Oryctolagus cuniculus: one gene and its partners. The protein of the gene in region 7 interacts with the protein of the main gene of each other region in a biochemical or structural test. Links are inferred from orthologs where the notes say so. Each region holds a gene or a part of one and is shown on either strand. Other genes may lie near its edges.

What was found.
Region 1: the proteins of DOK1 (region 7) and ABL1 form a complex in vitro, tested with the Homo sapiens proteins (5 studies listed by BioGRID, with this or other methods). The link is inferred for Oryctolagus cuniculus from reciprocal best matches to the Homo sapiens genes DOK1 and ABL1.
Region 2: of the proteins of DOK1 (region 7) and TEC, one has a biochemical effect on the other in vitro, tested with the Homo sapiens proteins (2 studies listed by BioGRID, with this or other methods). The link is inferred for Oryctolagus cuniculus from reciprocal best matches to the Homo sapiens genes DOK1 and TEC.
Region 3: the proteins of DOK1 (region 7) and CRKL form a complex in vitro, tested with the Homo sapiens proteins (2 studies listed by BioGRID, with this or other methods). The link is inferred for Oryctolagus cuniculus from reciprocal best matches to the Homo sapiens genes DOK1 and CRKL.
Region 4: of the proteins of DOK1 (region 7) and LYN, one has a biochemical effect on the other in vitro, tested with the Homo sapiens proteins (2 studies listed by BioGRID, with this or other methods). The link is inferred for Oryctolagus cuniculus from reciprocal best matches to the Homo sapiens genes DOK1 and LYN.
Region 5: the proteins of DOK1 (region 7) and FGR form a complex in vitro, tested with the Homo sapiens proteins (2 studies listed by BioGRID, with this or other methods). The link is inferred for Oryctolagus cuniculus from reciprocal best matches to the Homo sapiens genes DOK1 and FGR.
Region 6: the proteins of DOK1 (region 7) and RASA1 form a complex in vitro, tested with the Homo sapiens proteins (2 studies listed by BioGRID, with this or other methods). The link is inferred for Oryctolagus cuniculus from reciprocal best matches to the Homo sapiens genes DOK1 and RASA1.

What each region holds. Positions count from the first base shown.
Region 1 is NC_091432.1:233,356,083-233,360,195, forward strand, and holds the start of ABL1 (tyrosine-protein kinase ABL1), read left to right. Parts: upstream 1-1,313; 5' UTR 1,314-1,328; coding exon 1,329-1,488; intron 1,489-2,181; coding exon of another isoform or gene 2,182-2,280; intron 2,281-2,426; exon of another isoform or gene 2,427-2,809; coding exon of another isoform or gene 2,810-2,945; intron 2,946-4,113. Other genes in the region: uncharacterized protein, read left to right, coding at 2,182-2,280. UniProt on the Homo sapiens protein: Non-receptor tyrosine-protein kinase that plays a role in many key processes linked to cell growth and survival such as cytoskeleton remodeling in response to extracellular stimuli, cell motility and adhesion, receptor endocytosis, autophagy, DNA damage response and apoptosis.
Region 2 is NC_091433.1:41,336,061-41,339,560, reverse strand, and holds part of TEC (tyrosine-protein kinase Tec), read left to right. Parts: intron 1-197; coding exon 198-369; intron 370-459; coding exon 460-676; intron 677-3,500.
Region 3 is NC_091452.1:29,679,627-29,683,556, reverse strand, and holds the start of CRKL (crk-like protein), read right to left. Parts: upstream 2,801-3,930; 5' UTR 2,265-2,800; coding exon 1,954-2,264; intron 1-1,953. UniProt on the Homo sapiens protein: May mediate the transduction of intracellular signals.
Region 4 is NC_091437.1:81,210,349-81,213,848, reverse strand, and holds part of LYN (tyrosine-protein kinase Lyn), read right to left. Parts: intron 2,307-3,500; coding exon 2,261-2,306; intron 1,443-2,260; coding exon 1,337-1,442; intron 1-1,336. UniProt on the Homo sapiens protein: Non-receptor tyrosine-protein kinase that transmits signals from cell surface receptors and plays an important role in the regulation of innate and adaptive immune responses, hematopoiesis, responses to growth factors and cytokines, integrin signaling, but also responses to DNA damage and genotoxic agents.
Region 5 is NC_091438.1:143,942,568-143,946,534, forward strand, and holds the start of FGR (tyrosine-protein kinase Fgr), read left to right. Parts: upstream 1-1,167; 5' UTR 1,168-1,386; intron 1,387-3,967. UniProt on the Homo sapiens protein: Non-receptor tyrosine-protein kinase that transmits signals from cell surface receptors devoid of kinase activity and contributes to the regulation of immune responses, including neutrophil, monocyte, macrophage and mast cell functions, cytoskeleton remodeling in response to extracellular stimuli, phagocytosis, cell adhesion and migration.
Region 6 is NC_091445.1:10,198,827-10,202,849, reverse strand, and holds the start of RASA1 (ras GTPase-activating protein 1), read right to left. Parts: upstream 2,801-4,023; 5' UTR 2,425-2,800; coding exon 1,934-2,424; intron 1-1,933. UniProt on the Homo sapiens protein: Inhibitory regulator of the Ras-cyclic AMP pathway. Stimulates the GTPase of normal but not oncogenic Ras p21; this stimulation may be further increased in the presence of NCK1.
Region 7 is NC_091433.1:128,406,402-128,410,657, forward strand, and holds the start of DOK1 (docking protein 1), read right to left. Parts: upstream 2,801-4,256; 5' UTR 2,663-2,800; coding exon 2,603-2,662; intron 2,320-2,602; coding exon 2,020-2,319; intron 1,866-2,019; coding exon 1,766-1,865; intron 1,565-1,765; coding exon 1,380-1,564; intron 1,133-1,379; coding exon 383-1,132; 3' UTR 1-382. Other genes in the region: LOXL3 (lysyl oxidase homolog 3), read left to right, coding at 3,003-3,231, 3,434-3,497. UniProt on the Homo sapiens protein: DOK proteins are enzymatically inert adaptor or scaffolding proteins. They provide a docking platform for the assembly of multimolecular signaling complexes. DOK1 appears to be a negative regulator of the insulin signaling pathway.

The DNA of each region.
Region 1 (4,113 bases), on a different chromosome or scaffold from region 7:
CATTCAGTTACTTGTGACAGTCACACATTTGCTCGGCTCTGGATTCCAGGTACAAGCCCTTAAAGACATCATTCTGTGGTGTTACACGGGGGGTTATAAAGCAGAGTGCATCTCCAGGGAGAGAGGTACGGCCAGGGCGTGGGGCTCTCCTGTCACTGGGAATGGAGACCAGGACAAGTCTTCAGGTCAGGTGCAGCCCACAGTGACTTCCGGGAGCCTCAGTCACCGTCTCCGTGGAAACCCACGCCAGGTCTCGTTTGGACCTCAGGATGACCTCGTAAGGGAAGCAGCCCCGAGCCCCACGAGCAGGTGAAGGAGCCAGGTGGGTCCCCTGGGAAGGTGTCGGCGGGCAGGGGGGAGCAGCTGGCAAAGGTGCCGGGTCCGAGATGAGACTCCCAGCGTCCAGACGGCCCCTGCCCCTCGCAACACGCGCTCTGAGCGCGAGGGCAGCGTGTCCACCGCGGCACCCAGCACCGCCGGACGCCTGCTGGGTGCGTCTGTTGGAGTTCTGATTCGATTACCCGGATTTTAGCCAAACTGGAGGACGAAGACGTGGAGGAAGTGAGTGAAGCGTGCATGGGCTCACAGGAAAAGCAAACGCCACCCCCCGCCCCCCCACTAAAGAAAAGTGAGGGCGCTGAGCAGGGTCAATGGTGGGAGGGACCGATGCCGCCGGTCAGGGCCGCCCGCCCGCGCGAAGCCCAAGCGATTAGCCCCGAAGACCCTCAGGGCCCCACCTGCTGCGCGTCCAGGGACCCCAGGGGCCCTCTCCTCGCGAAGCCGGTGCCGGTTCCCAGCCCAGCGGAAGCCCCTGCGAGACCCCTGGCGCCCCCGCGGCGGGGGCAGCGTCCCGAGGCCTGGGGCGCACGGCAGAGAGGAGGAAACCCCAGCCCGCTTCCGCGTCCGCACTCGGGGAGCCGGCCCCGGGGCGCAAGGCGACGGCGCACTCGACGGAGGCCGGCCCCGGGCCCGGGGCGAGCGCTGCTCCTGCCCGGGCGCCGCCCCTGCGGCCCTGTCTTCTCCAGCGCCGGGGTCTGCAAGGGCGCAGGGGCGGAGCGCACCGAATCCCCCGGTTTCCAGGAAGGAATCCGACTCCGGTTCTCGGAGAATCCGATCCACAGCTTGGCCCCTGCTTTGGCGCCCCGCCGGCCAGCCCGACGCGAGGCCGGCGAGAGCACCGGCTCCGGAGAGCTACGGCCAGAAGCGCTTCAGCCGGGAGCAGCGCGCAGGACGCCTCGGCGCCGCGGGACTACAACTCCCGGCACGCCCCGCGGGCTGCGCCGACTTCCATTGGCCGAAGCCTCCAGCATGCCAGCCCGCGTCGACCAATGGGATGGAGGAGAGAGGCCTGGCCAGGATCCTCGGAGGCCAATCGCAGTACAGGGGAGGCGGGCGCTTCCTTACCACTCACCTTGCACTCGGAAAAGTCGCCTTTAAAAGGTCGTCCCGGGCCGGGCTCCTGCGAGGCACTGAGGCCAGAGCCAGAAGGTGCGACGGGGTCCCAGGAAAGCGGCGCCGGGGGCATCCCAGTCCACGCGAGGCGGGCTCCGGACGGCGCCGGGGGGCGGGGCCGGGGGCGGGGCCTGGCCTCGTTGTGGAGCGGCTCGTAATCCATCATGGCGGCCGCGGGGGTCGGCCACTGTCCCTGAGCAGCGCCGAAGTCGGAGCCGGTTCCTGGGTGCTGCGGTTGAGGAGCCCCTTCGTGGCCCACGGCCCCTACCGGCGGGGGGCAGGCGGGGTCCCTCGGCGGAGTTCGGGGGATGTGACTGCTTGGCGGCGGCGGCAGCGTCCGGGGCCGCGGGACGGGGGTGTCTCGGGCAGAGACCCCCGGGCTCGGGGCAGCTGAGGCGGCCAGGCCTCCTCTCTCGTCGGCCCGTCTCCCGCCTTCGGGCCGCGCGAGTCTTTCGTCTCTGCAGCCCCGCCGCGGCTCTGGGACGCCCCCCCCCCGGGGTGGTCTCTGTTCGCTCCGGACGTGGGACGCCCCCGTTTCCTGAGGCGTGGAGAAGCGTCGCCCCCCGAGTAAGCCGCCCGTGCCCCGCCCCGGAGTCGCCCCCCGCTCCCGCTGCCGGCCCCAAGGCTGGCCGCCGGAGACCCCCATTCAGACCCGCTGCGTGCTGTCAGGTGGCCTCCCATGGCCCGCCAGGTTGCCCCCGCCAGCCTCTGATGCCCTGACTTCTTCCAATGTCACCTACGGCCCCCTTGGTCTCAGCCCAGCCAGAAACTTCCATGCAAAGGAAGAGCCTGGATTGGTTTCACAGGCCTTTTAAAAAGCGGACTTAAAAGTTGCTGGCCATGCATTCCGTGCCGAGCGCGCCGAGATCCGGCTGACCCGCGCGTCCTTTTCCGGAGGGCCGGGGAGAGCGAGGAGCCGGAGCGCAGCCGGCCCGGCCCGGCCCGGCGGGAGCTTTGCTGGGGGACAGGCGCGGGCGAGCACCCCGGGGCCCGCGACGCTGCCGGAAGGACTAAGGGATTGTCGCCCTGCGCCCCACCGCTCCGGGAATAGTTCTGCTTAGGTGCGTCTTCCCAAAAAAGAAAAAGCGTGGTTCACTCAGTGGAGTATCCTTAAAGACGGCGAAACCTTTGGGGAGTGTGGGAATCACCTTACTCCCCAAAGCCCGAGGCTGGGAACAGTCAGCGGGCCCCCCGTGTCCATGCGTGGAGCCCCCGGCAGGTGCCTGCCCGCGACTGCCCGTGCGGGCCGCCGTGGCGTGGCGGGCATGCGCTGAGTGTGGAAGGCCCCGCCGAGGCCACCGACCGTTCCGGAAGCTCCTGGACCCTCTTCTGGAAAGGGGAGCCCCGCGCTAACTTTATGGGGCAGCAGCCTGGAAAAGTTCTTGGGGACCAGAGAAGGCCGAGTCTGCCCGCCCTGCACTTCATCAAAGGAGCCGGCAAGAAGGACTCGGCGCGCCATGGGGGCCCGCACTGCAACGTCTTCGTGGAGCACGGTGAGTGTCGCGGGCGCGTCCCGGCGGCTCCGCGGGTGCCCGTGCCTGCCGCGTCCGCGGGTGCCCGTGCCTGCCGGCTCCGCGGGTGCCCGTGCCTGCCGCGTCCGCTGGGCGCTCGCGGTGGTCCCGGAGCCTCGCGTGGAACCCGCTTAGTCCTGGAAACGGTGTCCTGGTGCCTGCGTGCCCCCTGCACACCGAGCCGTGCGCCGCGTCCCCTTGGTGCTGACCCGGGGCCTCCGTTTCCCGACCAGGTGGCAGTTAGCTGGCTTCTTCGCGGCGGCTCCCCGACTCGCGTGGGTCCTTAGCGAGCCCGCGTCTGTTCTCACGGTTTGGGAACCTCAGGTCTCAGTTGACACGGAACCCCCTGGCCTTTAGGAGGGCAGTGGGGCCCGCAGACGCTCCCCGGCTCTGCGGGAGAAGGCAGCGTTCGGGGGCTGAGCCCGGAACTCCCCGCGGCCGGAGCCCGCGCCCGCTTCTCTCCCGGTGCAGGGGGACGCTGGGCGCTCTGGCGTTCCTGTGGGCGTCTTCTCTTCACCTCCAGTGATTCTGTGGGGGTGAAGCAGGGGTCGCCTGGCCGCCGTCTGAAACAGAGGTCGGACCACTGAATCAGCTTCGTTCGTTCGTGTCCTTTACCTTAACATAGTATCCTGGGTGGGAGGGGGCGCCACCTGTGATGCGGCATCTCCTGTGGGTGCAGCGTCGGTTCCTGGCTGCTCCACTTCTGATCCAGCTCCCTGCTCATGGCCTGGGAAAGCAGCAGAGGACGACCCCCGGGGCCCCTGCCACCCATGTGGGAGACCCGGATGAGGCTCCTGGCTTCAGCCTGGCCCAGTGCTGGCCGTCGCGGCCATCTGGGGAGTGAACCAACAGCTGGAAGCTCCCTCTCTCTGTTACTTTTTCAAAATAAATAAATCTTTAAAAAAAAACACCTTAACTGGGGGGCAGGCGTCATGGCCCAGTGAGTTAAGCGCCCCTTGGGATGCCCACATCTGTATAGGAATGTTGGGGTTTGAGTCCTAGCTGTCTCCAGGTTCCGGGTTTTTGCTGCTGATGGGTGTATCCTGGGAGACGGCAGACGATGGCCCAGGTGCTTGGGCACCTGCCACCCACATGGGAGATCCAGATGCAGTCCCAGCTCCTGGCTTTGGCCTGGCCCAGCCTGGGACTG
Region 2 (3,500 bases), about 87 Mb from region 7:
GATCGCAGGAGGAAGAGTGGTAAATGCGGAAGTATTCGTGTTTTATGCAAAGTCCTTAGCCTTCAGCTGCGTTAGTGGAAACGTAACTCCTGCAGCCTTCTCCTGCCTCCTTCAGGTCGCTTGGCTGGCATGGCGACAGTTTGGAAGGGCTGTGTTCCCTTTTCACTTGCTGACGTCTGCCCCCTTCTGTCTTGCAGAGAAGTGGGAGATTAACCCTTCAGAGCTGACCTTCATGCGGGAGCTGGGCAGCGGGCTCTTCGGAGTGGTGAGGCTTGGCAAGTGGCGAGCCCAGTACAAAGTAGCCATCAAAGCTATTAGGGAGGGCGCCATGTGTGAGGAGGACTTCATAGAAGAAGCTAAAGTGATGATGTAAGTCACGCGCAGCCCGTGGCCCTCCCGTGCCCTGGTGACTTCTGTTCTGTGGTACCTATGTGTGTGTGTGTGTGCCTTCCTTCCCAGGAAACTGACACACCCGAAGTTAGTCCAGCTTTACGGCGTTTGCACCCAGCAGAAACCCATCTACATCGTCACCGAGTTCATGGAGCGCGGCTGCCTTCTGAATTTCCTCCGGCAGAGACAAGGTCACTTCAGCAGAGATGCGCTGCTGAGCATGTGTCAGGACGTGTGTGAAGGCATGGAGTACCTGGAGAGAAACAGCTTCATCCACCGAGACCTGGTAACCAGGACCCTCCCGTGTGCCCGTTCATTGGCTGAAGTGCTGTGCAGCACAGGGTCAGCTCTGTGCTGGGAGGCATTCATGCCCATGTTTGTTTGTAACCATGTTTCACTGTATGTGTGGTTTTAAGATTTATTTATTTGTTTGAAAGTCAGTGTTGCAGAGAGAGAGAGGAAGAGAGAGAGAGAGGTATAGAGAGAGGAAGAGAGAGAGAGAGAGAGAGAGGGAGGGAGAGGTCTTCCATCTGGTGGTTCACTCCCCAAATGGCCACAATGGCCAGGGATGGACCAGGCCAAAGCCAGGAGCCAGGAGCTTCCTCCTAGTCTGCCACATGGGTGCAGGGGTCCAAGCACTTGGTCCATCCTCCACTGCTTTCCCAGGCCATTAACAGAGAGCTGGATCAGAACAGGGACAACCAAGACTCGAACCAGCACCCATATGGAATGCCAGCACTGCAGGCAGTGGCTTTACCCATTATGTCACAGCACTGGGTTCCACCATTATTTATTTATTTATTTTTTTAAATTTGAGAGTGAGAGTCACAGACAGAGAGAGGGAGAGACAGAGAAAGAAGTCTGCCATCCACTGGTTCACTCCCCAAATGGTGCAACAACCAGAGCTGGGCCAATCCAAAGCCAGGAGCCAGGAACTTCTTCTGGGTCTCCCATGTGGGTACAGGGGCCCAAGCCCTTGGGCTGTCTTCTTTTGCTTTCCCAGGCCATAGCAGAGAGCTGGATCTGAAGAAGAGCAGCCAGGACATGAACTGGCACCCATATGGGAAAGCCAGAGGCTTAGCCTGATGTGCCACAGGGTCAGCTCCAACCATTATTTTTAAACTTTGTAAATTTAACTCACCCCATTATCTTAAAGGAAAGATCTTTATTAAATGTAATGATTCGTGTAGTTAAAGTCTCCAAGCAACCCTCCTGACATCAGTTATCTGATCTCCAGAAGAGTGCTGTGAGGTCTGGCAGATTTTATCTCATCACTGTCCCCTAGGCAAGAAAGGCAGCTTTGGGGACGTGAAGTGGCTGCCTACTGTAACACACAGGGAAGTTAGGCTTGGCTTTGGCCTCTGACTAAATCCCAAATTGTTTCCCACCTCTCACACTATAAACAGAACCTTGATGAGAAATCCTTTGGTTCATTTTCTTTGTCTGTAATCCTCGGGCAAAGATGGAGACTCACGTGAACTTCTGACCCTACCAGGAAAGGAGATCTGTTGGTGGCACTAATTCATTGTGATGCACACTTCCTACTGTTTCTCCTCCCACTCTTTCTCCTCTGCTCCCCCTCCCACTCTTTCTCCTCTGCTCCATTCTCCCTGCTTTTCTCCACGAATGTGTCTGTTCTCATCCTGTCAGTAGCACCTTCACCAAAGCAAGCGTGGCTACCCTCTGGATGGTCTCGTATTCGAGTTGCACTTTTGTGGTCAAGCACAGACACAAGTCTTCCAGAGCAGCAGCAAAGCATTTTTTTTTTTTAAATTAAGGATCACCATCGGTAGATGTGGTTCTTTTCTTTAAGATTTATTTATCTAGTTGAAAGGCAGAGTTACAAAGAAGCAGAGGCAGAGAGAAAGAAAGAGAGAGATCTTCCATTTGCTGGTTCACTCTCCAAATGGCCCCAATGGCCCGGGCTGAGCCAATCCAAAGCCAGGAGCTTCCTCCAGACCTCTCGTGTAGTCGCGGGGCACAAGCACTTGTGCCATCCTCTACTGCCTGCCTTCCCAGGCCACAGCAGAGCTGGATCGAAGTGGAGTAGCCAGGGCTTGAATTGGCACCCACATGGGATGCTGGCACTGCAGGCGGCAGTTCTACCCACTACGCCGCAGCTTTGGCAACTAGATAAGGTTCTAATAAATATTTCACAAATGTAAACTCATTTTGAGTCATTATAACAACCCTTGGAATAGATATTATGATTCTACAAATAGGATAAGATAACTGACCAGTGTCAAGTCAGTTGTGGATCCAGGGTTTGAACCCAGGGAGTTTCACTCCAGAGTCTATACTGTAACCGCTGTGCTGTGTCATATCTAGATTTAAAGTATAACAGGGAGCTGATGACTTGGAGATGGAAGACTTGGTTTCCAACATGTATTTTGGGACAGTTACATAGTCTTTCTGATACTCTGTTTCCATATCTGTAAATTGTGGGTGTCGCTCCCCCTCTTCGTGGAGGAACGACACAGGACCCTGCGCTGTTTTTCGTCTGTTCGGCCCTCCCCGGGTTTGCTGCTGGTTCTTCCCGGGTTGGCTACTATCCCTTCCACCTCCGTGGAAGGGCGGTTCCCCCTGGCCACATTCCCCACTTCCGCAGGGGAGCGGCACACCGCCGGCCGGTTCTCTCGGGGGCTGCACAGGTGTTCCCTCAGATGTTCCCCTTAGATGTTCCCGGTGCATGCCGTCTCTCTCCTCCTTTATAGTCCTCCTCCGCCAATCCTAACTTGGCTGCCCACACGCCGAGTACGCTGCTCTCCAATCAGGAGCAAGTCCTACAGTTTATTGGTTGAACTGGAGGCAGCTGTGCGGAAGCTGTTTACTTCTCTCCCAGCACCATATTGTGGGAGAGCAGATGCATAGAATAAGTCTTAATTCCAGTAACTCAGTCCAGTCCGGGCCGCTCCCCACAGTGGGTATAATACTTTTTTGCTCAAAAGATTGTTCTAAACATCATATTGTACTGGGGCCAGTGCTGTGGCATAGCAGGTAAAGCTGCTACCTGCAGTGCCGGCATCCTATATGGGCTCCAGTTCAAGTCGCAGCTGCTGCATTTCCAATCCAGCTCTCTGCTGTGGCCTGGGGAAGCAGTACAAGATGAC
Region 3 (3,930 bases), on a different chromosome or scaffold from region 7:
CGCCTGAGAGAAGAGTGGAAGATGACCCAGGGCTTAGGCCCCTACCACCCACAACAGAGACCTAGATGGGGTTCCAGACTCCTGGCTTGGGCCTGGTCCAGCCCTGACTGTTACTGCCATTTGGGGAGTGAACCAGAGAGGATGGAGGGTCTCTGTCTTTTCCCCCTCTCTCTGTAACTCCGAATTTCAAAAAAAAATCTTAAAAAAAAGATTCAGCATAAAAAAGTAAATCAAGCCCAGATCTAATTTGACCAGTACTGGGATACTCAGGAAAAAACAGCAACCATGGGCAGAGGGCACAGAGAAAGAGAAAGAGTTATATAAGTGGATTGTGAGGGGGAGGATCAGGGCGAAACACCCTATTATTTGTGAGGGGACTGACAACAGGTAGGATTTCAATAGGTGGAGCGTGGGTGGAGTCTGTCAATGAACAACCAAAGGTACAGAGGCGTAAGGCATGGATGAGAGCGCCGACGCTGGGAAGATGCCTATGGGAAATCTGGGTTTTGTGGGGAGTGGGAAGCCCACCATAGCGTACTTCCTTCTCTCCCTCTGGTGGAAGCTCACCCATTAACTCACACTTTTTCAAACCAACAGCTGTATTACAGCAACTGTCCCCTCGTTATAACCACACAATACAGCTTCATAGAGGCAGTTTACTTGTACAAACTAGAGAAGGGATTTACTTGTATTACAAATACCATATTACAGTGGTAAGGTTCGCATCCACCTCTTACACTGGAATGACACTCGTTCGGACTTTATCTCCTAGCAGGTTAGGATTTGGAGTCTGACCAATGAGATTCTTGGCGTCGTGGCCTTTGTTATACGGTATTTGATTTATATGACTTTCTCTCTTAGCTAAGTAATCTTACAGTCAATATACCACTGTGGCTTGCTTTCTTCTCTATTTCACAGAAGCAACACTTATGCATTCAGTTGGTGTTTTTAATTAATTATAATAGCTCTTAATGTTTTAAGTTTAGCACAATACCTTGTCATTAGGCAATCTATAAAGTCAGGAACACCTCACTCCAGGAAAAAAACTACATCAACATCCCGTTCTTTTTAAACAGATGTTTTAGGAAACCAACTGAGCAGTGAAACATCCTTTGAAAAAAAATCTAGGCAATTTTTTCAATTCCAATTTGGCATAATTTTAAACAAAATAAACCGCTAAAAAAACCCGCTTAAACCAATTAAAGAAAACAATCAAATAAAATAGCGCATTATGCTCGGTAATGTCACTGCGGGTTCTTGTCTTTAAAAAACAGAAACTAAGGCGTGAGCCTATTGAATGATCCACCTGAGGAGAGGGTACAACCCCCCAACTCCCCCCCCCCCCAAAAAGCCCTCGCTGAAGGCGTCGCACTTTCTCTTTTCTTTGTCATTCATGTAAGGTGAAACAGGTGTGTCTGGGCTGCTTCAAACTTGGCACCAGACCATCAGCCGACACTTCTTTCAGTTACAGGTTTGTGCTGCTAAACGCTAAAGCATTTTCATTTGGCGACTACCCAAGGGCTGCAGCCCAGGGGTTCTTAACCTGGAGATCTGCAAGGGGTGAACCTCCGTGTACCGGCACTTTCTGGCGGGTGGAGACACCCTCTGGCTATCTTCAAATTCTCAAAAGCAGTTTATGGTCCCACCCCCCCCAAAAAAAAATTTTAAGAACAAATAAATAAAACCCCATTAGTACTGCAGAAAACATGACAAAAGGCGTGAGTTTCAGCTATACGATCGCCGCTCCCGCGATTTTACACGCAGCCCTCTGATCCAGTGACCCAGATCCTGACACTAACCGTTCCCGTTCGGAACGCCTTCTGGGGAACAATGCGGTTCTGGATTGAGGGCTGGGGAGGACCGGGCTCCAGCCCCTCACCCGGACATGCCCTCCCCTCCCTCCTCGGCGGTGGCGGGGGTCGCGCGCCGGGGAAGGGCGGCAGCTCGCGTTACCTGGGCGCGGGCTCGATGAGGGTGGTGGTGTCCAGGTAGTGGATCTTGTAGAACTCCAGCAGGGCCGGCAAGTGGTCGAACTCCTGGTCCCCGATCTTAAAGCGGCGGTTGGGCAGCGAGTTGATGATATAGTGGGAGACCCGCGAGTTCTCCGACACCGAGAGCACGTAATCCCCGGGGCAGGTGGAGGAGTCGCGCACCAGGAACATGCCGTGGCGCTGGCCCTGGAGCCGGGTCTGCGCCTCCTGGCGAGACACCGGCCCCATGTACCAGGAGGCGCGGTCTGAGGAGTCGAACCTGGCCGAAGACATGGTGTCGGGCCGACGGCGGGGTGGCGGCTGCTCTCGCCTGCCCTGGAAGCCTGGAAGCTCGGCAGACGGCGCTGGGGCCGAGGCAGGGCCTCTGGGCACACCGCGGAGCGCGCTCACACGGCCCGGCCAGCACCTTTCTCTGGGCTCCGGGCCCGCAGCATCCTCTGCCGCCGCCCGCCTGCTCCGAGGCCGCCTCACACAGAGAGCCGGCCCGGGGGGATGCGGGGCAGAGCCTTGGGCGGGCGACGCCGAGCCGCAGCGGAGGCCGCCCCGGGGTTATCTGGCTGCCTGGCGTCCCGGGGCCGGGAGGGGGTGGCTCCGGTGACTCCCGGCCTAGAACGCACCGGCTCCGCAGCCCCACAAGTCTTCACGGACCCCCCACGCCGTCACACGAAGCACCGGACTCCAGAGAGCTTCGTGCCTCCGGGGCAGTTTGGACCAGCCCGTTCCCAATAGCCACAGCAACAAAATGGCGGACGCGGGACAAGCGACCGGCCACCACCCCCCTCCGCTCAGCGCGCTCCGTCTGCGCACGCGCGGGAGCTCCGGCTCCCTGCGGCCGCCGAGGCCCTCCCCGTGACGTCACGGGTCACAGCCAATCAGGAGCACGGTCGGGGCGGTCCGGGCGCGCGCCGCTCGCGCCCGCTCCCGCGTTCCGGGAGGAGGCTGAGGAGGTGGGGGGCGGCGGGCACTCCCTTCCTGGGCCTCGGTCCTCCGCCGCCGGGGGCGCTGCGGCCGCTGGGCCTCCCAGCGCTGGCAGGAAAACAGCTGGAGCTGAGGAGGGAGCGGCGGGTTGAAAACCTGCTTCTGGGAAACAAAGCGTAACGTGCCGGGCGAATCGCGGGCCATGGAGGCGTGGCACTGAGGTGACCTGGCCGGGTCTAAGCGGCCCGAGGGAGCCCGGCCAGAGGATGAGTCCTGGAGGCGAGTGGATGACGCAGGCCCTAGGTGACCTGAAAGGCCGAGGGACTCCAGGTGGCTAAGTGTCCTGATTGATATCAATAGGGGGTATGAAGGTTGGATTGACCCGGGGTTAAGTGGGCTAGGACAACCGCAGCCACGGGCTCTGAGTGGCTGCAAGGAAAATGCCTCTCGGGCGTGGCCCTGAGGGCTCCCTCCGCTCCGGATTCCGCCAGCCCCTCCAAATTAATCTCCCAAGACTCACCCGCCCCCCGGCGCGCCCCTTGCTTACCCAGCTCCAGCCATGCCCTCCCAAGCCTGTTCCCTCCCCCTGCATCCTCCACGAGAAGTATGTTTTTAAGAGAGCAGAGATCTCGTCTGTCTTGGTTCACCTTTGTCTTGTCTGCCTTGCACAATGTCTGGCCTTGAGTCCCTGCGCAAATATTTGTTAAGTGAGTGACTGTTGAGAAAAGTCGTCAGGGTGCGTGTGCCCTCGGAATTGGCCGCAGAAAGCATGGCTGAGTAGAGAGAAGCAAACTTGGATTTCCTTGCTAAGGACATTGCAGGTAGACCATACTTAGCGGTTGGCGCCTCTCTGCCCGTCTCTCCCGCAGCAAGCTGAACGTGACCTAGGTTGTAGGGTCCACCCTAGGCCCAGCCGAATGTGAAAATCTATCGCTTTTTGTGACTCTGGATAAGTAGGTTTTCATCTTCTCCAGAGATGTGCTGGCTCAGGTGCGATTTGAAAAAAGCACAGGACCTGAAG
Region 4 (3,500 bases), on a different chromosome or scaffold from region 7:
TATTTACTTGAAAGGCAGAAAGAGACAGACACAGACACAGTCACAATCACAGAGAGAGCTCTTCCATCCACTGGTTTACTCTCCAAATGACCACAAAGCCAGAGCTGGGCCAGCCCAAAGCCAAGAGTTGGGAATTCAATCTGGGTCTTCCACAAAGGTGGCAGAGACTCAACTACTTGAACCATTCTGCTGCCTACTTGGATATGTAGTAACAGGAAAGCTGGTCTTGAGAGTGGACCTAGGCATTCTGATATGGGATACAGGTGTCCCAAGCTGTGTCCTAACCACTGTGGCAAGTGCTGGCCCATGGAGTACCGCCCTGTACCCCTGTGGTCTGACAGGGACCACATGTCTGAGAACCAGCATGGAGGGTGGAGGAAATGACCACGTCCAAGTATCTTCACAGAGGAGATGCCCCCATAGGGGTTGGGGATGTGGGGAGAGGTCAGCCAATACCTACAAAGTCACAGGTAGATAGGAGGGACAGGCACTGGTGTTCTAAGGCACAGCAAGGTGAATATAGTTAACAATCATGCATGGATGTCTCAGAACAGTCTGAACAGAGGATTTTAAATGTACTCACCATAAAGAAATGATCAGTGTTTAAGGTGATGGCTTTTCTGAAGTGACAGCTACAGTAGCACAGTCCCTTTTGAAATCAAACAAATTATGTACCAGGGTTGTGGTGCAGCAAATAAAGCTGCAGCCCATGATGCCGGCATCCCATATCTGAGTGCTCCACTTCCAATTCAGCACCCTGTTAATGTATCGTGGAAAGCAGTGGAAGGTGGCCCAAGTTCTTGGACCCCTGCCCTCAAGGAGGAAATCCAGATGGAGTTCCTGGCTCCTGGCTTTGAGCTGGCCCAGCACGGCCACTGTGGTCACTCGAAAAGTGAACCAGCAGATGGAAAATTCTCTCTCTGTGTCATTCTGCCTTTCAAATAAATAAATAAATCTTTTAAGCAGGAAATCAAACCAAATGGGCCCACATACCCAGTCCAAATCTACACAATGCAATGAAATAAAAATGGCATCTTAAAGAATAGGCTGCACAACCCAGACTTCTTCAGGTGGCCCCGTGGGATAAGGCAAAAACCAGAGCCTCTGCAAACAGAAACCTGAAAGGTGCTCAGCTGGACTCCAGGGGAAACCTCTCGGTCATGCTCCCTGCAGGGAGTAGGTCCTACACAGTGCAACAAGGGGGATGCAAGGCCTCCCGTTCCCCAAGCAGGCAGTCTGGCTATGGTTCTGCTACTGCGAGCAAAATGAGGGGACAGACTGCGGGCCCCAGCAGCCTGAGGAAAGAAGCAATCACCCCAGCCCCGGGAGCACTTACTCCTCCAGCACTTTCATCTTCTCTCCTTTCTTGAAAGACAAGTCGTCCTGGTGGATGCCATCATAGGGGTACAAGGCCACCACAATGTCCCCTTGTTCCTCTGGATCTAAAAAGGAAGAACATAAGTAAAGACCTTGGAGGATTCAGCAGCAGAAATGAGTTCACAAACCCTCAACAGGTGCAAAGAATGAGCTGAAGTGCTAATGACAGGAGAAACCGGAATGAGGACATGGAGTTTGCTAACTGGAGACACTCAGGGTTCACACGGTCTATATGCTGGGACACACTAATTATGGTATCTGTTATCACAAACCATTCTAGTTCTATATTCAAGAAATGAGACCTCACTCGTGTTCATAGCAGTATTATTCACAATAACCCAAAGATGCCTAGTGCCCAGGGATGGGTGAATGGAAAATAATGTGGTGTGTATGTGTGCATGTATGTATGGAATAATGGCATCTTATTCAGCTTTAAAAAGGAAAGAAATTCTGATACAAGCTGTGTACTGGAGGAATCTTGGAGATATTATGTCAAATGAAATAAGGCAGAGAGAGAAAGATAAATATCGTATGGTTCCATCTATACAAGGTATCTACAGTATTCAACTTCCTAGAGACAGACAGTAGGTGGGGGTGGCCAGGGGCTGGGTATGGGCAGACAGGAGGTCAGTGTTCAATGGATACAAAGTTCTCATCTGGGCAGACGAGAAGGTTCTAGAGATGGATGGTGGTGACGGTTACACAACAGTGTAAGCACACTTCCTGCCACTGAGCTGCACACTTAAACATGGCAACGATGGTAAATTTTCCGTTTTTTGTATATTCCCACAATAAAAATGCAAGTAAAATCATCTAGGAAACCACTTTATAGAGGCTTTCACAGTAAAAAAAACAAATGAACAACACTGCTATGGAAACATACCTTTAGTTTGAAACCTCTGTCCTGGTAAAAGCTGAGATTCTGGAACCTACGAGAGAATATTGGTTAGGAAAAAAAAATGTAGGTTTAGCTTTTCTTGCTCATATTCATGTTGTGATTCATTTTTCTAACAGCAAATGGCGTTTGGATTTGCTCATTTCTGAAGCTGGAAAGAGGGGGAGTCGAGGGAGAAAATTCTGCAGTGCTTTGTCATGACTACACGGCTCAGGGGGAGGGCCCTGCCTTCTGAGAATGGCAGGAAGTGAACAAGGCTCTGGCCGGCATCTGCTAGATGCACACCTCATCATCGTTCCTCTTTCTATCTGGTAACAGAACCCTAGCTTTATGTGGGGGGTGACTGGCCCAGCATAACGACTGCACTTCCAACCATTCCAGCCCTCTGCACAGATGTGCACCGTGGCTGTTCAGGGCTTTGGCAAAACCTCTCCCTTTCCTGGTCCTGCTTTCTGCTTAGAATCAAATGAAGATAAAGAGTCCCAGCTGCCACGGACACCGAACACTGGGGAAAGCAGAGGGAGAAACCTAAGTGACCGGGGTCCTGGTGACCTTCTAGAAGTGTCATGTCAGCCCAGAGCTGGCCGTCTCCCTGTTCCGGGGACTTGTTTGAATACATGTGGTCACGGCTCTGTCACCAGCAGTGAAGAACAAGTCCCAACCCATCCAGGCTTTCTCGGGCTGCCCTTGACTCAGACAGCGCCCCACTCTTCCCAGAGTTGGGAGGGGCCTGGTGGTACCACAGTTCACCTTGGTTACATTTAGCTCAAATTCCTCTTTCCTGCAGTGGCACAGTGAGGCTCATCTAAGGAAGGTACTCTCAGAGGCCTCCACCACAACCCATGTAACATTCTGTTTCTCTTTGATGAAAGTGATTTCATGGACAGTTTATACTGAAATTACAATTTGAATTTCTGATCAACATCAGCCAATTATCTCCACTTCATCAGGGTGGGTGGGTGGGGACGATTGCTGTACTGTGAAATCCGAAAATCCATTCCATACCATCCTTCAATACTTCAAGAAGTTTTATACTGATTTTGCAGTCACTTAGATTTGCATAATTAGGATGTCTGATCTATTCTATATGATTTAGAGGAAATAATCAGAAGATGAGAAGCTGAATAATTCTGAAAGCAGCAAATTGAGTTTCTAATATCAAAGCACCTTAATTTACAAACATTTTAACAGCCTTCGTACAACCAAAACACGTATGTGTGACTCCACG
Region 5 (3,967 bases), on a different chromosome or scaffold from region 7:
AGAGAGACAGAGAGAAAGGTCTTCCTTTGCCGTTGGTTCACCCTCCAATGGCCGCCGCGGTCAGCGCGCTGCGGCCGGCGCACCGCGCTGATCCGATGGCAGGAACCAGGAGCCAGGTGCTTTTCCTGGTCTCCCATGGGGTGCAGGGCCCAAGCACCTGGGCCATCCTCCACTGCACTCCCTGGCCACAGCAGAGGGCTGGCCTGGAAGAGGGGCAACCGGGACAGAATCCGGCGCCCCGACCGGGACTAGAACCTGGTGTGCCGGCGCCGCTAGGCGGAGGATTAGCCTAGTGAGCCGCGGCGCCGGCCCCTTGTTTGTTTTTTAAGATTTATTTATTTATTTATTCGAAAGGCAGAGTGACAGAGAGAGAGAGAGAGAGAGAGAGAGAGAGAGAGATATCTTTCATCTGCTGGCTCACTCCTCAAATAGCCACAGTGGCAGGAGCTGAGTCAGGCTGTAGCCAGGAGCCAGAAACTCCATCCTGGTCTCCCACCTGGGTGCATCATCTGCTGCTTTCCCAGGTGCATTAGCTGGGAGCTGAATTCCCAGCAGGGCAGCCAGGACTTCCAGAAGGGGTGCTGGCCGGGCACGTGGCAGCTTAACCTGCTGCACCACAGCATGGGACCCTAGTGCTTGGTTTGAGGCTGCAGAGGCAACGGTGGAAGCAGGGGTGGAACCCCAGGCCAGGGGTCAGGACTCACTACTAGCGGCAAAGGCTGGGACTGTAACAGAAGAGGAGGCTTCGCTTTCTCTAAAACAGAGCTGTGGGGAGCGACACCCCTCCCCCACTGGATGTGGCCCGAGGGAAGTCTCTGGCTGCTCCCTACCCTCCCCAGGCACAGAGACAGCATCCACAGCAGCGGCTCCGGTGACAGCAGTCTGAGGTCCTCTGGCTGAGTGGACCTGTTCCTGGGCTTCCCCAGGAGGAACTGGCCTTCCTGTGGCAGAGAAAAGCCCATCTTCCCCCACCCCAGGGATGCCCACAGCACAGGTGTCGGTCGGGAACCATCGGGAAAGCTCTGCCTGGGGCAGGGGCTGGGAAAGCAGCCGGGGTGCGGGGAGAGGCCTGGGAGAGCCGACCCCCACAACCAGGGGCCGGCGGGAAGTGAGGGCGGGCGGGCCTGGATCTGGGGGCCCCTCCCCACTGCGGGCAGCCGGGTCGGGGCTGGGGCGTGACAACGAATTCTCCCCGCCGCCACCACTGCCACCGCCGCCCGCGGCTGCAATAAGAGAAGTCCGAGGCGGCTTCCTCCTCCCTTGTCCAGAGGGGGCGGCGGGCAGAGGCGGGCAGCACCCCAGCCCTCGCCCACGTCGGCACTCGTAGCTGCGTGAGCCCCGGCTGGCTCGCCGGGGGCTGGCGGAATCAGGCTCCCCTGGCACCAGGTAGGTCTGGCCGCGGCAGGTGGGGGCTGGGACAGGTCTGGGAGAGGAGGGGGCGGGCTGGAGGCAGTAGGGACACTTGAACTTAGACAAGCTACAGAAGTTGAAGGCCAAGGGAACCTCACCTCGAAAAGGGCTGAGGGGGGAAACCGCAGAGACCTGGGAGTAACCTGCGGGGCAGGGCCCGGGGCATCTGGGAACCCCCAAGGCGGGGTCTGGCGGGGAGGCGGAGTGGGGGCCTGGAGGGTGCGATTTGGAACGCGGGGTGAGAGTCGGGGGAGGCCTGGGGTAGAGAGTGCGGGGACTCTGAAAATGCAGCATTTGGGAAGGAGTTCCGTGGGGTGCGGGGACATTCGAGAAGAGGGTCAGGGAGAGCGAGTTCTGGCCCGCGCAGTTTAACGGGGCCATTCAGGGGCCCAGTAAGTACCCTCTGTTCCGCATCGTCAGAAGTCGGGGGTCAAGCCTAGGCCCGCAGGCCTGCGGCCCCCAGACCTGCCCGCCCCCGCACTGGTGGGCGCCAGGGGCCGGCCGCAGGGACTCCTGCAGGGCGCTTCCTGGGGAAGTCCCCGCCCTCCGCAGGGACGGCCTCTCCCGGCGCCCCCTCCCCGCCAGCGGCGGCGGCCTCGGTCCGCGTTCCTCTCGGGATCCGGGAATTGCTGGCCGCCCCGACGGAAATCCTGCCTTTGACCGCGAAGGCGCGGAGGGGCTGTGTCCATGGCAACCAGAGGGCGGAGAGGCGAGCTGGGCTCTGGCTGCTTCGGGGCTGGTGGCCGGCGCAGCCCCCCACCCCCACCCCGGGGGCCCGGTCTTTGCTGCAATTTGGAGTCCTTATCTTGGGAGGGGTGCGGGACAGAGGAGGGGGTGCTGATGTTCCATGATCTGGGATCCTGGAGTGGGGGGCTCTTAGCAAGACTATGTCCTCAGTTGCTGTGTGACTGTTGCAGGTCAGGCTTCTCTGGGCCGCCTCCTTCTGTTTGAGCTATGGAGATAGAAGCTGGCTACACCTGCCTGCTGGCCCCGGGTGAGACCCTGGCCTGCAATGCGGGTTTTGCTGAGGGTCCTGGAGGGGGTAAGGGGCTCTGTCCTTTGCCTTCTCAAAAACATGGAGGGGGACAAGAGAGGGACCCACACACAGAGGGCACCTAACAAACAGATGTCCTACATCTCTTGTAGGACCCATGCTGGGGAGATCAGCAGGGGTGAGATCTGTCCCCCACCTTTCTTGGTGCCACACCCAGGTGGCCACCCCTCCAGTCAGTGGTTTTTTCAGGGATCCTGAGGCCTTTGGCACCTTTTCATCTGTGCTGGGGATGGGAAAGCAGGCTGCTAACCCCACTTCACAGATGGGGAGAGGGAGGTTTGGGAGTCGGTGACTGGCAGGACCCACAGTAGGGACCAACAGTCCAGGGCACCTTGCCTCTGAGCCACCCCGCCCCCCAATCTCATCCCTACCCAATCTCTCAGAGCCCCCTGGAGAGGGAAGAGGTACATGGGGGAGGAGGTTGGGGGTCCTTGGGCTCCTCCACCAGCTCCTGCTCCCCAGTGGGTGTGAAGCAGTGAGCGTGGGCGAGAGAGAGAGAGAGAGAGAGAGAGAGAGAGAGAGAGAGAGAATGTGCGTGTGGTTTGGGCTTTGGGTGAATGCGTGTGAGCCTGTGAGCATCTGTGTGTGCACTGGGTTTCCTCTGCACCCACCTGGGGCTGGTGTGGTGAGGGAAATGGCCTGACCTTCGGAGTTTGGGGAAGGATGAGCCAGGGTGCACTCCCACCCTTGGGCTGCCCAAGGTGGGAGAGGGCCCGATGCCCCACCCTGCAGGACCTGGGAGGGGGCTTCCGGTCTGCCACACTGTGGAACCCGGACTCCTCTGCCCTCAGCTGCCCCTGGGCACGGAGCCAGCTCCTGAAAATGCTGAAGCCCAGGCCAAGCAAGTGGCACTGGGAGCCCTGTGCAGAGGCTGGCGTGGGTGGTTCAGTGCAGGTAGGAAACCACAGTACTGCTGAGAAGCGGTGCCCTCGGGAGCCAGCTAGGGCCGACGGGCCGGCACCCGGGGTGCGGGGTGGATGCCCGCAGCCACGGCTCTGGTCTTGGCGAGGGGCCCAATGGCACTGGGACTCACCTGCCGACCTTAGCCTTTCCCCTGCCCCACCCCTGCCCGGCCGGAGCCTTGAGGAGAAGCCGGAACTCTTGCAGGATGGTGGTTTCCGGCTGCTGCCCAGAGTCCCAGTTCCCTTTTGGTGAAATCCCCCATGCGTGGTTGAGGCCAGCCCAGCCCTCCCACCTCGCCTGGGAACTTCTCTTTCTTCTCCGCTCTGCCCAGCCCCGTGCCCTCAGCTGCCTCCCCCTACTGTGGAGGGTCTTCCTCAAAGGAAAGGAGGGGAGTGAACCTTCACTGAGCACCTACTGTGTGCCTGATGCTTTGGGGGCTTGACTGCATTTGAAGCAACCCCTTGAGGGAAAGATCTGCATTCCTGTTTTTTAGGTAGAGCATTGACAGCTGAGGGAGCTGCACGCATGCTCTTTCTCGGGCAGGGGAGAATTTCAGCCTGAATCTGTCTCTGGATCTCACAGATACTAGGCTGGGGGTGG
Region 6 (4,023 bases), on a different chromosome or scaffold from region 7:
ATACTATATTGCCTCCAGTAACTCTAGATTGACATCTAAGATTAAAAAAAAAAAGGAAATTTGCACTTCTAAGTAGTATATTTTAAAAGCATACTTAGACATGGAGGGTACTTTTAGAACATCAACAACTGTCATATACACAGACGTACAAGTTTTATTCTTACTCCTAAATACAAAAAAATGATGAAAATCTCACTGAACAGACTTCTCACAAATCCATATTTTCCTAAGTACACACTCATCTTTATTATTAAAAATTTAACAAGAACACTCTGCTTTCCACTCAATTCTGCTGTAAGCTAAAATTGCTCTAGATAACAATCTATTAAAAAATTTTTTGAACTACAATATCCTAAATAGGCCTAAATCAATTCAGTTATGAACTGGTATAAGACTAGATTCTTTTAATATGAAAAATTACAGTTTATTAAAACCTTAGCAATAAGTACTTAATATTAAGTGTGCACATAATATTTACCTGTCATTTTTTCCAAAAAAGACTCGAAGGTGTGCAAGTAGCACTAAAAAACCAATTTTTAACATTCCCAAGAAATCTGCAAGACACACACATGAAATAACTTGGAATAAAATCAAACAAAAAAATTAATGTGTCAGTAATACAGCATCTTTTCCTAATTTTCCTAATTACTTTTTTCTTAAGATTCATTTTGAAAATCAGAATTGCGGGGGGGGGGGGGACACAGAGCTAGAGAATCTTCCATCCAATGGTTCACTCCCCATATCCCATATGGCCACAAGGGCCAGGCAGAAGCCAGGAGCCAAGAGCCTCCTCCAGGTCTCCGATGTAGGTGCAGGGACCCAAGGACTTGGGCCATTCTCCACTGCTTTCCCAGGTTATTAGCAGGGACCTGGATTGGAAGTGAAGCACCTGGGTTTCCAACCAGGCTCATGTGAAATGCTGTTGCTGCAGGTGGCAGCTTTACCTGTTACACCACAGCTGCAAGCCCTCCTCATCACTTTTTAAAGTCTTTCTAAATCCTCCAAAGTATTAAAAACAAAACAAAACAAAACAAAAAACACCTTTGGCTTGTCCAGAGTGACCATCCATCCACATACCAACCAAATGTTTTTTTCCTGATGCTCACCAAGGCTGCTGAAATCCTAAACATCATTTAAGACTGATGTGACAGATCACGTTTTGCCTACTAGTGTCCCTTCCTGTTCCAACATTTAAGTTATATTTAAAAAGTCATGCCCTGCATATTCTAAATGTCAAAATTAATTTCAAATAGAAGACCGTATTGGCCACCAACAAAAATTCTGAAGCGAAGCGCCGTTAAAATCTGTTTCGCATGAAGACTGTACTTCGAGCGTCTGAACTACAAAAGCATTACAGGTCCATCAACCAAGTCAGTCTACGAAACACGTTACCAGCTCAGAACCTGAGTCCTTCATCACACGCCTAACTCTCACAACTCTTCTTTCTCCCGGACCCACGTTCGCCTAAGGGATCAACACTTCGCTGCATCACTCTGCCTTCGTAGACAGAAGTTGGAGAAGTCGGTGCCACAAAAGCAAAGCATTCTGGTCAATGGATTGTTTTCTCTCCACGCTATCCCTACACACTAACTCATCAGGGCGCACACACACACAAGTCCATGTACACTGCGACTGCCTTGGCTCCGGGCAGGCTTGGCGAATCCTGGGGCACCCATTTGCAGGGCACACAACCATATCCGGTTCTCACTGGACACACACTTTTCCCATGCGTCCCATCTTAAAAACTACATCTTCCCAGAGGAGCCATGAACACACAAAGACGCCCCGGGAGCCCGCCTGTCGGGAAGAGGAGCGCTCCAGTTAAATCCCTACGCGCGACACCCGCAGCTCCACCAACTCTGCACAACAAATCACAGCCGCCAGAGAACAAGGTGCGTCTTCCCCCAAGCCCGCAACCGCACAGCCCACTTACTGGTTAGTCGGCGGCGCCGTCAGCGGGATGGCCACCTCTTCCTCCTCGTACTCTGGTCCATCCAGGGAGTCCCCTTCGTCCACCGTGCCCAGACCCGCACCCAGCGGGGGCAGCAGAGGCGGCGGCGGCGGCGGCAGAGGCGGGAAGCCGCCGCCCGGCCCGAGGGTCTCGGCCGGCAGCAAGGGGGTCCCCTTGGGGAGGGCCATGTCCCCACTAGGTCCAGCAGCGCCTCCCCCTGTCAGTCCCGCGCCCCCCAGGGCCCCCGCCACGGACCCGGCCCCCAGGAACCCCGACCCCACAGCGGCCCCGCCACCCAGCGCCCCGGCCTCCACCAGCCCGGGGCAGGGGGCGGCGGCCGCGGGGAGCTTCACGCGACACACCACCGGGTAGGCGGCACCGGAGCCCGCGGCCGCGCCGCCGCCGCCGCCGCCGCCTCCGGCTCCGGCAGCCACCGGGCCGCCCTCCTCACTGCCGGCCTCGGCGGCCATCATGTTGAAGCCCGCTGCGCTCAGCCTGCGCGGCCCGCCCGGGAGCCCCGGGGGCCAGCAGGCCCGGGCTCCGAGCCGCCCCACCCAGGCGCGTCCCCCCTTCAGCTCCCCAGGCGGAGGAAACAACAACAAAAGGAGAGAGCCCGCCGCCGCCGCCGCCGCCGCCGCCGCCGCGCCCCCTCCCCGGGCCACAGCCCAGACTCGCGGAGCCGCCTGCGTTACGGAGCGCCAAGTGGGCAAAAAAAGCCCAGCGCCGGCACAAACGCCGCCCCGGGCTCGCCTCGCACACCCACACTCACGCGCACACACATGCACGGACGCGGAAAACTTCCTGCGCTCGGGAGGAAGGGAAGCCCGGGGGAAGCGGCCGAGGCGGCCGCCGCTCCCTCAGCCGCCGCCGCTCGCTCACCACCCGAGTTCCGGCCACCCCCACCGCAGCCGCCGCCGCCGGGGCCGCTGCCTGGGACGCAGCCCCGGCAGCCGCTGCATCCTCCACCAGCCCGGCGCGGGGAGGGGTGGGCAGGGGAGGCGGGAGGGGCGGGGTGGCGAGGAAACCGCGGCGCTGCTCGCTACCTGCAGCGCTCGGGTAGTGAAACCCGAGACAGACCGGGAGGGAGAGAGAGAGAGAGAGAGAAAGGAGGGCGGGGCCGGGGAGGAGCGGCGGGGAGAGGAAGGGCGGCGGAGGCGGAGGGCGGCTTCTGCGCAGGCGCGGCCGCGCGGGGCGGGCGGGGCGGGAAGCGGCCCGCGAGGGGCGGAGGCGGCGCGGCGGCCTGGCCCGGCCGCGCGCGCGCGCGCGTGTGTGTGCGTGTGTGTGTGTCTGTGTGTGTGTGTGGCAGGCTGACATGAAACCCCGGGAGGCGAGAGGAGCTGGAAGAGCATGGAGCGGAAGGAAGAGCCCACCGGAGCCACTGCCGCGCTCGCTGACGGTGACGAAAAGCGGCGGCGCGGAGGCCCGACGGGGCGGGCGGGCGCGCGGCGAAGGTCAGCGCAGCGCGGGTGTGGGGCGCAGTGACCGCACGGCGACTGCCGCACTGGCAGGTCAGCTCCAAGGCGGCAGTCCCGGAACTCGGGAAAGCGCCGCGGGTGCCGGGAGCCGTGCGGGCAGGCGGTCGTGGTGTGGAGCGCGGTGTCCGCCGCCCCGTGCCGGCGCCCGTCCAGGTGGACGGTGAGGAGGTGTGAGAAGTGCCGGAGCCCGGGGCGGAGCGCCTGCACAAGCCCCTTGTCCAGGGTGTTCAACAGTAATAGCCTGGACCTCACCCTTAAAGCGCACAAGGAGGGGTTTTGTGTTCTCTTTAAAAGTATCCCTGGGGAACTGGTCCCAGGGCCTCCACCACGGGATACCAGGCTCTCAGGATGCTCGAATCCCTTTTTTTTTTTTTTTTTTTTTTTAATAAAGTGGTGTAGCGTTTGCACATAAGCACACCCTCCATGTACACCAACTCCTCTCTGGATTCCTTGCAATAACTAACACAGTGTAAATGCATGTAAATAGCCGTTATACTGTATTGTTTTGGAAATAACAAGAATCAAAATGACATTTTTGGTACAGATGCATGCTTGTAAAATGTTTCCCAGAGTTAGTTAATTCCTCAGATGTGAAGG
Region 7 (4,256 bases):
ACGCAGGCAGAGTCCAGCAGTTCCCTTGAGCCTCCACGCAGGCCCCCCAAGCTGTCCCCTCTAAGTACCTCTTTCTGTGCACTTGGCCAAGCAACTCTGTTTCCGCGGGAGGGGGCTGGCTGACCCTCCCTGGAGCCTAGCATCCAGCCCTGCCAGTTGGTTCGCTTCCTAGGACTTCCTGGGATTGACAGGCCTTCCCTCAGCCCCCAGCCCTTGGCTCCCCTGGGCTCACACACGCTGGCTCTAACAGGTTTCTTTGATCCCCAGTGCCATCGCCCTCGTGGTCCTTCCATCAGCAACCCCGGCCTTGCCCTGCTTCTCAAGTGGAGCCCTCTGACTGGACCCCAGTCCTGCCACTCCCTGCCCTAGACTGCCCATGGTCCTAGCTGCCGGAAGCTCCACACTTCTGGACCTGGCTGTACAGGGCAGTGTCTGAGCTGGGGGCTTTGCTGCCACTGCCGGTCGTGACACCAGGTTCCGGAAAGGTTGGGCCCTGGGGCTTGGGAGCAGGAAGGGGCTTTGTGCTCCGAGGCGGGGGTACAGCATAGTCATCAGTGGCAGGGTTGTAGGGGAGCTCATAGCCCTCCTCCTTCAGCCGAGCCTGGCACCACCATGCGTCCTTGGGCTCCTGAGGCAAGTCGTACAGGCCCCGGGGCGGGGCCGGGGCCAGGCCCTCCGGCTCATCATAGATGGGGTCCTCTTTGGTGTCTGTCACCTTGGCCTTCAGCAGCTGCTCTTGCACGTGCTCGTACAAGTCCCAGTAGAGACGCTTCTTCTGCGGTCCCCCCTCCCCTGCCCCAGCAGCAGTGCTGTCCAGGGGATCTGAGTACAGGGAGTCCTGGGAGGGGCCAGGGGGAACACGGAGGGAGTCTAAGGGCTCTGCATACAGGGCTGGGGGATTTCCCAGGGGCTCCTGGGGGCCAGGAGGGGAAGCCAACTTCCCTTCCAGCACCTCTCCTTCCTGAGAGTCCGCCCTGAGAACCTCGTGCCCCTGGCCAGCCTTTCCCTGGACCTTCTGCCGGTGGATGGCCGTCTCCACGGCCTGAAAGATGTCATTCCCCTGTGCTGTCTGGAAGGTGAACGTTCCAGGGCCCGAGGGGCAGCGGCGACCGGCCTCAAAAGAGAACATGACCTGTGCAGGGCGTGAAAGGAAGGAAACACATTACCTTGGGAGGGGGCAGGGGAGTCAGGGGGCGTGAACTAGTGCTAAGGTACCTGCAGAAAAGGCAATGCCGGCACCGGGCTGGGTCATGAGGCAGAAAAGGAAGAGGATCCCAAGAGCAGAGCTCCCCACCTTCCTGCCCTGCCCCGCCTCACCCACAGCTGCCCTGGGACCCAGGAAGCCCTCCCCCGATAGTTCTCCCAGACAGCGGCTGCACCTTGTCCCGGCCATAGCGACGCAACAGGGTGTAGGGCCAGGAGAGGAGTGGCTCCAGGACCTGCTTCTGGGCCCCCACAGTCAGAAGAGTCAGCCTCTCGGCCTCTACCCTCAGCACGTAGGAGCCATGCAGCCCGCAGCGCTCGGCGGCCTCAGTCCTCTGCACGGTTACCCAGAACTGGGACCCTGGAAGGAACGCACCGTTACACTAGCACCTGCTAAAACAGAAGATGGGCAGGGGTGGGGACCACGAGCAGTGTCCCAGCGCTCGCGGGAAGCCGAATCCCAGGCTTCCTACCTCTCCGCGGGGCCCCTGCACCCTCTAATCCCCGGCTCCCCGGAGGCCCTCCTCCTCCCCACTCCATCGCTCCCAGGCGGCTGCAGCACCTTCCCAGGTGGGGCTGTACAGCGAGTTCTCCAGCATCTTCAGCGCAGAAAGCTGAGGCGGGTTCGGGTTCTCGGCGGGCGCCTGAGCCCAGCTGCCTTTCTGTTGCAAAGAGAGCGCACCCGCCGCCACTCTGTCATTCTCTCAGCGTGGCTGCGGGGGGTCTGAGGTCCCCAGGTTCTGGTGCTGCTGTGACTGCCCCCCTCCCACACCGCCCCCTCAGGTCCAGGGCCGCTAGCCCGGGGGGCCCCCTCACCGGAAAGGCATTTCGGCACAGCGACTGCACCCAGGCGGCGCTGGAAGGCGCATCGGCCGCAAGCAGGTGCGAGCGCTGCGCCGTGTCCAGGCGGAAGGCAGTGGCGCCGGGCTCCGGGGGGCTCTCCACGGCCACGGGGGCCACGCTCACGCATTCGGCCAGACGGATCACCTTGCAGTCCAGGCGGCGCGAGCCCCCTCGGCCACCTCCAGAGCTCGACCCCTTGTGGTCGAAGAACTCGAGGCGCGCTACGCCGTGGGGGCTGGCCGGGTAGAGCACGGCCCAGGTCTTCCTCCACCTCTAGGGAGAGAGCGAGCGACACTGGGGAGGGAGCCGGCGTGCGCGGGTGGCTCCCGCGCAGGCCGATTTAGGGTCTGGGGCTTCGCGAGGAGGATGCCGCTCGGCCTCCCCGGGGCCCGGAGGCGCCACTGCGAGCCTGCAGACGCCTCTCCGGAGCGTGCAGAGCAACTTCGCGGGCACGTCACGGGACTCTGCGGCTCTCACGCGCCGCTCGCCCCCTCCCTCCCGGCCCTTTCACTCACTTTAGCCCCGTTGGGGTTCGACACCCCCTGCCCCCCGCTACCTTGGTCCCAAAGCGCTGACTCTGCAGGAAGAGCGGCCCTTCCATCACGGCCCCGTCCATGGCCCCCGGCGGTTCTTTCCGCGCTTCCTGGCCCTGCGGGCGTGAGGCGGGGCCGGGGGCGGGGTCGAACCGGCCAGGGGCGTTCCCGCCGGCCCCCGCCGGCGGCACTGGGTGGGGGGGCAGAGGAGCCAGGAGGAAGGGGGTCGGGGTCCCCAGGTAAGCCGGGCGGCGCAGCTCCAGACCCCTACCCACCCCTCTGGGGGCGTGCACAAGTGGCTCCGGCGAGTGAAACTGTGGTTCCAGTCAGACCGCCTTGGCGCCCGCGTGCCGGGGCTGCGTGTGACGTCACAATCCCAACATGACATCAGAGACAAGGCCGTGACATCACTTCGAAACAGCAATGAAGGGGCCCAGTGGGCCCGCAGGGCTTCAGTTGTCCTGCGGGCCCGCCCCCAGGCCAACCCGAGGGAGACTGTTTATCTCCGCTGAGCCAGGCGGGGAGGGAGGCTGGGAGCTGGGGCAGGAGGCTTCGCCGCCGCCCGGTGGCCGCTTGCGAGTCCAGCTCCCTGACCGCAGCAGCCGGGCCTCCGACCTGCGGGAGAAGAAAGCTTCATTGAGTCGGCTCGAGGGTCGGGGAGGGGGAAGGGGCGCGGCAGCGGCCAGCTTCACGGGGGAGGGGAGGACCCAGAGGCGAAGAGGAGGGAACTGGCCGGGGAGGAATGGAGGGAGAAAGCGGAATGTGGGAGGGCTCTAGGGGACGTGGGAGGGACGACCGGGGAGGGGGAGGGAGGGTCCGGCCGCCCCTGGCCGAGCACTTTTTTTTTTTGAAAGTCCTAGGACTGCTCTCCGGGACCAGAACTCTTCTCGAAGCCCCTAGGGCCCCGCTCAGCCAAAGGTAGGGGCGGTCAGGCTGCGGCCCACGCGAGGAAGAGGCCTTGGGGATGGAGAGCAAGGTGGCGGGACCAAAGGAAAGGGGATGGCGTGGGATGGGGCCGGGGAAGCCAACCAGCTGAGAGTTATTGTCAAAGCGGAGACACGAGAGGAGTGCAGAGAGGAGGCTCACTCCTGGGGGGTGCGGGCGGCAGGGTGTTCCAAGTGGGGCAGCGGGGAGGGGCCTAAACTGGGGGCTCCCCGGTGAGGCCCGGTCCCTGGGCCCCCAAGCAGGAACGTCCCCAGAACAAAGCTGTCTTGTTGGGCCGTTTGTCTGGAGTGGGAGAAGCATGTTCGGCGCGCCCCCCTCCCGCTGTGCAGCGGCCGTTCTCAGCCCCCCACGGAGAAAGCCCTGGCCCCGGGTTGCCTGGTGACAGCCACGGTGGTTTTGGCAGGAGGCTGGGACAACCCCACCCCATCCCCTGCCCAGCTTGAGGCCTGGCCCTGCTGGGCCCCTTGACCCTGCAGGGCATCGGAGAGCCTGTGCCCCGGCGAGGCTGTACAGCCGGCTGGCCCTGCATTCCTTCCTGTCTGCCCTCCTTGTTGGGGGAGTCAGCCCAGAGCGGGCTCAGGATGAGGTCCCATTCCTGGGCTCCCACGTCTCAGAGGCCCCAGGGCCTGCCTCTCTCTGCACAGCGCTGTGCCGGGTGGCTGGCTAAACGGGGTCACCAGGGTGCCTGCCGCATCTGCTCCCTGGCCCCCATCAGTCACTCTCCTCTCTGGT